Linked DNA regions of Oryctolagus cuniculus. The protein of the gene in region 1 interacts with the protein of each later gene in a pairwise test. Links are inferred from orthologs where the notes say so. Each region holds a gene or a part of one and is shown in the gene's direction. Other genes may lie near its edges.

Region 1 (3,656 bases):
TAACTCTCCAAATAGCCACAACCCTGGGACTGGGCCAAGGCCGAAGCAGGATCCTGAAACTCCATCCAGGTCTCCTGCATGGGTTAACAGGACGCAAATACTGCGACCGTCTTCCACTGCTTCCCCAGGAGCATTTGCAGGGAGTGGGATCAGAAGTGGAACAGCTAGGAACATAACTAGCACTCAAGTGGGATGTCAGTGTTGCAGGCAGTAACTTAGAGCACATACCGGCCCCAGTAATATATTTTTATGGCATATCTTACTAGTTTCTGATCCTTTCTTTTGGCATATTAATTAATTTATTTATTTGAAAGAGAGTTTCAGAGAGAAAGAGAGTGCTTCCATCTGCTGCTTTGCACCACAGATGGCTGTAAGGGCTGGAATGGGCTGATCTGAAGCCAGGATCTTCCAGGTCTCCCACATGAGTACAGGGGCCCAAACACTTGGGCAATCTAATTCTGGATTCCCAGGCACATTAGCAGGGAGCTGGATCAGAAGTGGAGTATCTGGGGTTTGACCCAGTGCCCATATGAGATGCTGGAGCCATAGGCAGTGGCTTTACCCACCATGCCACCGTCCTGGCCCCTTTTAGCATATTTTTGTAACTGTTGCTCACCTTGTCTTTCATCCCTTCATTACGTACAAGAGGGCTCATTTCTTTAAGCAGTGTCTTTGTTGCTCAGATTCCTGTCATCTCAGCCCTCAAAATCACTGATAACGCTGGAACAACTACCAGGACAAGCACTCATCAGAAGGACATTTGTTTACACTTGTGTCTTCCTTTTTTTTTTCTCTCTCCTATACCGCTTAGATCTTGGCCAGGGTTGCCGTGTTAAGGGTTTAAAGCTGACTGAATATTTTCTGACATTATCTTATCAGTCCTTTGACATATAATTTCATAAGTGGTTTTTTTTGACAGAGTGGACAGAGAGATAGGTCTTCCTTTGCCGTTGGTTCACCCTCCAATGGCCGCCGCGGCCGGCACACTGCGCTGACCCGAAGGCAGGAGCCAGGTGCTTCTCCTGGTCTCCCATGGGGTGCAGGGCCATCCTCCACTGCACTCCTGGGCCACAGCAGAGAGGTGGCCTGGAAGAGGGGCAACCAGGACAGAATCTGGCGCCCCGACCGGGACTAGAACCCGGTGTGCCGGTGCCGCTAGGCTGAGGATTAGCCTGTTGAGCCGCGGCACCAGCTAGTTTTGTTTTTAAAATTTTATTTATTTATTTGAGAGGCAGAGTTACAGACAGTGAGAGGAGAAGCAGAAAGGTTTCCTTCCATTGGTTCACTCTCCAAATGGCCACAACGGCCATAGTTGAGCTGATCTGAAGCCAGGAGCCAGGTGCTTTTTTCCGGTCTCCTACGTGGGTACGGGGGGCCCAAGGACTTGGCCCATCTTCTGCTGCTTTCCCAGGCGAAAGCAGAGAGCTGGATTGGAAGAGGAGCATCTGGGGACTAGAACCGGCGCCCATATGGGATGCTGGTGCTGTAGGTGGAGATTAACCTACTGTGCCACCATGGTGCGGGTCCCCAAGTTTTGGTTTTGAAAGTGTTGGTTCATGTAAATTTACATGTTTAATGTTTTACTTAAAATTTTTAAATAATTTGTAATAAATAACATAACTTGCTGTAGTTCAGGCTTTTCTGCATTTGATATTTAAATCACAGTGTATTTGAAATTTTTAAGCTTTATAATAGATAACAATGAAAATATTTTTACCTTTACTATTCTGTTTTTTGAGACCATGTAAGAACCCTTGAAGACAATTTCAAGTAGTTTACTGTTTTCTTTCAGGTGATAGTTATGAGTGCTACTCTGGATGCAGGAAAATTCCAGATTTACTTCGATAACTGTCCACTCTTAACTATTCCTGGGCGTACACATCCTGTTGAGATCTTCTATACTCCAGAACCGGAGAGAGATTATCTTGAAGCAGCAATCCGAACAGTGATCCAGATTCATATGTGTGAAGAGGAGGAGGGAGATCTTCTGCTTTTCTTAACTGGTCAAGAGGTATTGTCATTGTTTCCTTCGTTAATAGCCTTTGACACATTTCTATCAAGCAGCGGCCTTGATTTAGATATTAACTATATTTTTCTTATCCCGTTGTTTGAAGTTTTTCTTCAACCTGATTGTACTAACATATTAAACATGACCCTTTTATTTATGTACTCTGGGAAATTTTTTTTTCTTTGGCGACTGATTGTGTTAATTATAGCAAGAGTGTTAAGTGCTTTTAGAATTTCAGGATTTAGCAGTTGTATCAATTTTGATGCAGCCTGGGTTGTGTTATTTTGCTGATGCATGAATTGGAATCCCAGCTCCTGTAAAATCATGCATTTCTTCAATTCAAAATTGGTTGTTTTGGTTATGAGTGAAGTTAGGTGTCCATCCACCCTCAAAATGTTTGTCTTCTTTTTGTTCGTTCTTTTGCATGTGCTGAGGATTGAAGGGATCAGTGAAGTTTCCTAGTTAGAACTTCATTTTTAGACAACAGATTTTCATGTGTAGTAGCTTTTCTTTTTTCAGAAGTTTTTCATTTGAGAGGTAGAGTGACAGAGATATCTTCCATCTGCTGGTTTACTCCCCAGATGGCATTAAGGACTGGGCTAGGCCAGGTGGAAGCCAGATTTCAGGAACTCCATCCTGGTCTTCCACAAGGATGGCAGGGTGCCAGGTACTTAAGCCATCTTCATTGTTTTCCCAGGCACATTGATGGAGAGCTGGATAGGAAACAGCAGCAGGGTTTTGAACTGGCAGTCTGATATGGGATGCTGATGGCTGCTTCACCCACTAGACTACAGTGTTTGCCCCACAAGTGTACTATTTCTATTTTTTTTTTTAACAGGCAGAGTGGACAGTGAGAGAGAGAGACAGAGAGAAAGGTCTTCCTTTGCCGTTGGTTCACCCCCCAATGGCCACTGCGGCCGGCGCACTGCGGCCAGCGCACCGCGCTGATCCGATGGCAGGAGCCAGGTGCTTTTCCTGGTCTCCCATGGGGTGCAGGGCCCAAGTACCTGGGCCATCCTCCACTGCACTCCCGGGCCACAGCAGAGAGCTGGCCTAGAAGAGGGGCAACCGGGACAGAATCCGGCGCCCCGACCGGGACTAGAACCCGGTGTGCCGGCGCCGCTAGGTGGAGGATTAGCCTAGTGAGCCGCGGTGCCTGCCTACTATTTCTATTTACAGCAGGGCATTTATAGGTATGCTATTAAATTCTTCAAAGGCTAAATGCAAGAAAAGCTATTTGGATAAAACAACATTTTAGGAAACCATTTCATAGAGATTGTTATGAGCTTTTTTTCTTTTGATCTCATGGGCCTTGTGAATTTTCCAGAATATAATTTTTTCTTTTAACTATTTCTTTGTTTGAAAGGCAGTGTTACAGAGAGGCAGTGGCAGAGATAGAGTGGGTAGCAAGAGCGAGCTTCTATCTGCTGGTTCACTCCCCAGATGGCCTCAAAGGCCGGAGCTGGGCTGTTCCAATGTTTGGAGCCAGGAGCTTCCTCCAGGTCTCCCATACGGGTGCAGTCCTTGGGCCATCTTCTGCTGCCTTCCTATGCCATAGCAGAGAGTTGGATTGGAAGTGTAGCAGCTGGGACTCCAACTGGCGCTTATATGGGATGTTGGCACTGCAGGTGGCAACTTTATCCGCTAT
Region 2 (3,656 bases), on another chromosome or scaffold:
TTGGAGAGTGAACCAATGGAAGCAAGACCTTTCTGTCTGTCTCTCCCTCGGACTGTCTGTAACTCTACCTCTCAAATAAATAAATAAAATCTTTAAAAAAAAAAAAAAAAAAAAAAGCCGGCGCCGTGGCTCAATAGGCTAATCCTCCACCTTGCGGCGCCGGCACACCGGGTTCTAGTCCCGGTTGGGGCGCCGGATTCTGTCCCGGTTGCCCCTCTTCCAGGCCAGCTCTCTGCTATGGCCAGGGAGTGCAGTGGAGGATGGCCCAGGTGCTTGGGCCCTGCACCCCATGGGAGACCAGGAAAAGCACCTGGCTCCTGGCTCCTGCCAGGATCAGCGCGGTGCGCCGGCTGCAGCGGCGGCCATTGGAGGGTGAACCAGCGGCAAAGGAAGACCTTTCTCTCTCTGTCTCTCTCTCTCACTGTCCACTCTGCCTGTCCAAAAAAAAAAAAAAAAAAAAAAAGATCCAGGTTCTAAGATCAGTATTTGGAAAATGGTTAAGATGCCACATACGATGTTTGCATCCCACGTTGGAGCTGCTTTGAGTCCCAGCTCCTCTGCCTCAGGTCCGCCTTCCTGCTGATGTGCACCCTGGGATGCAGTGATGATAGCTCAAGTCCTTGGGTACCTGCCACCCATTTGGAAGTCTCAAATTGAGTTCCAGATCCCTGCCATTTGGGGAGTGAACAAGAGGATGAAAGATATCTTTGTATATGTCTGTTTCTATGCCTTAAAAAAAAATTAAAAACCCAGATTCTAAGCCCAATATTTAAATTACAATTTTAGATATGTTTTTGCTTTATTGAATTCTAGAGCTCTAAATTTGTGGCATAGTCTCCTAAATTGTTCTAATAAAATTTCTTAAGAACCTTGCTAAAGTAAAATCTGCTATGGTCCTCTCTCAAGTGCACCATTTTGAACTTGGTGTTGGCATTGTTGTTTTTGAGAGTGCTTAAATTCTTTATACGCTTCCCCTTCCAGTAGGTGACCAAATAGTCTTCATGTTGGGTTTGTTTATATTGAGTGGTGCAATAAATGCTGTCTCAGTATAAGGAAGAACTTCACCAGTGGCTGGCTATAGGTTGTTTTAGGTTTGTTTGTTTATTTGTGATTTTGTTTGTTTGTTTTGCTTCTTATTTGAGAGACTCAGACAGAACATTCTCTGATTCATTCTCTGAATACTCAGAATGGCTGGGACTGGGCCAGGCCAAAGCTCAAAACTTAGGCTAGTTCCCCTGCATTGCTGCTTCCCAGGGTCTGCATTGGCAGACAGGTATCCAATAAACTCAGGCACTCATTTTATATGGGCATCTCATCCCTAGACCAAATTCCTGCCATTTCTGTAGTTTTTGATTGTGCTGAAACCTTTTCCCAACTGGATAAAAATAATTAAAAATACAACACAAAAATTTTGAAATTCACATAGTTGGGACCTGATATTACGGTGTAGTGGGTAAAGCTATGCATATCCCATATGGGCACTGGTTTGTATCCTGGCTGTTCCACTCCCAATTCAGCTCCTTGCTAATGGCTTGGGAAAGCAGCTGAAGATGGCCCAAATACTTGGGCCCTTGCACCCATATGGGAGACCTGGAAGAAACTCCTGTCTCCAACTTTGGCCTGCCACCACTGTGGCTGTTGCCACTTGGGGAATGAACCAGCAGATAGAAGATTTTCTTTGTAACTCTTTAAAATAAGCAAATGAATCTTTAAAAATTCATATAATATTCTGAATATTTAGCTTTTGCCCATTTGTCTCAGAAATATGTCAGTTTCTGATATATATGTGTGTGGGTGTGTGGGTGTGTGTGTGGGTGTGTGTATATATATATATATATGTAGTATTTACCCATGTTGCCATTGCTCTAATCCACATATCAGTGGAAAGCCTGGCCTAATATAATAATAAAATAATTACCAAGTCAGGAAAATAATTACAGATTTTTTTTTTTCCCCAGTGCTGGCTGAACAATTTCAGGAAAAGACTAAAATGCTTCCGATGTGGAGCAGACAAGTTTGGTAAGCGTGGTTTTAGCTATTTGGAATGTGCATTAAAACTTGTCTAATTGGATTATTGTCTGTGAGTCTGGTCATGGCAGTTCTGTTCTGGCCCAAAATTTCATCCTACATCAACCGTGTCATAATTATTGAGGCTTTGCTATAGCCACAAATCCTTAAAAAAAAAAAAAAAAAGACTGATAGATGTACATCAAATTTACTGAAAATACATTGGTGTTTGTTTGGCTTGCCTTCATTGGGTGACTTTCACTTCTTCCAGACTCTGAACAGGAGGTGCCCCCAGGAACCACAGAGTCAGTTCAGTCTGTGGATTACTACTGTGATAGTAAGTTGAAATGTGATCTTTTGGCCTGTGTATTAAAAGTTAACCTCAGTTGGAAATTTTTGTTCTCACCCTTTTGAATCAGCAACAGCAGCTTCAGGTTGTCCCATAAAAGATGAGTTTTAAGAATCTTTTCTGTGTCCGGGTAAAAATATTCTAGGAACCTCCCCAAATGGATGTGTTGATACTTGAACCTGCCTTGAAAAGCATTGATGGTGGGAATGCATTTAATATGTCATTTTTTTCTTTCACCCCTAGCGATCATTCTTCGGAACATAGCCCCACACACTGTGGTGGATTCCATCATGACAGCGCTGTCTCCCTATGCGTCTTTAGCTGTCAATAACATTCGCCTCATAAAAGACAAACAGACCCAGCAGAACAGAGGCTTTGCATTTGTGCAGCTATCTTCTGCAATGGTGAGGTTCTCATTGAATCTTTGCTATTAAAAGAGACTTTAAGAGGCAAATATGGGCCGGTGCTGTGGCTCACTTGGCTAATCCCCACCTGTGGCGTCGGCACCCCTGGTTCTAGTCCCGTTTGGGGCGCTGGATTCTGTCCTGGTTGCTCCTCTTCCAGTCCAGCTCTCTGCTGTGGCCTGGGAAGGCAGTGGAGGATGGCCCACGTGCTTGGGCTCTGCACCCACATGGGAGACCAGGAGGAAGCACCTGGCTTCTGGCTTTGGATCGGTGCGGCACACCGGCCGTAGCAGCCATCTGGGGGGTGAACCAACAGAAGGAAGACCTTTCTCTCTGTCTCTCTCTCTCTGTCTGCCTGTCAAAAAAAAAAGAGGCAAATATGGTTCATCCAACTGTGATACCCTTTATGAGGCTCCTGGAGCTCAATGTGTGAGGCTATATAATGATGATTTTTCATTGCTAAATTGTGGAACTCTTTATGTTGATAAGTAGTAAAAATGTTATATCTGAGAGAACTGCCAGAACTGAAGATTGAGCATGCTTTATTCCTTTGAGCTTTGTTTTAGATTAATTTTCCATTTAATAATACCGGATATCTTCATATCCTGTAGGTGTTTCTTAGTGTTTCATGTCCACAACACAATAAGGAGTCAGTGCTCTTTTGTTTCTGTTTTCATAGAAAGCTGTTTCTTTTGGATGGATTAGATGATGAGGAGAGACTTTGAATAACTTCATAGAATTGTTTTTTGCTTTTCATATTCTGCTTCAGGATGCTTCTCAACTGCTTCAGATATTACAGAGTCTCCATCCTCCTTTGAAAATTGACGGAAAAACCATTGGGGTTGATTTTGCCAAAAGTGCCAGAAAGTGAGTGACTTTAAGAGCCTGATTGCAAG

Evidence for each region. The genes of interacting proteins can lie anywhere in the genome.
Region 2: the proteins of DHX15 (region 1) and RBM5 interact in binary tests that used the Homo sapiens proteins (3 or more experiments, as listed by UniProt). The link is inferred for Oryctolagus cuniculus from reciprocal best matches to the Homo sapiens genes DHX15 and RBM5.

What each region holds. Positions count from the first base shown.
Region 1 is NC_091433.1:19,757,236-19,760,891, reverse strand, and holds part of DHX15 (ATP-dependent RNA helicase DHX15), read left to right. Parts: intron 1-1,792; coding exon 1,793-2,011; intron 2,012-3,656.
Region 2 is NC_091441.1:99,195,301-99,198,956, reverse strand, and holds part of RBM5 (RNA-binding protein 5), read left to right. Parts: intron 1-1,958; coding exon 1,959-2,019; intron 2,020-2,278; coding exon 2,279-2,344; intron 2,345-2,599; coding exon 2,600-2,760; intron 2,761-3,529; coding exon 3,530-3,627; intron 3,628-3,656. UniProt on the Homo sapiens protein: Component of the spliceosome A complex. Binds to ssRNA containing the consensus sequence 5'-AGGUAA-3'. Regulates alternative splicing of a number of mRNAs.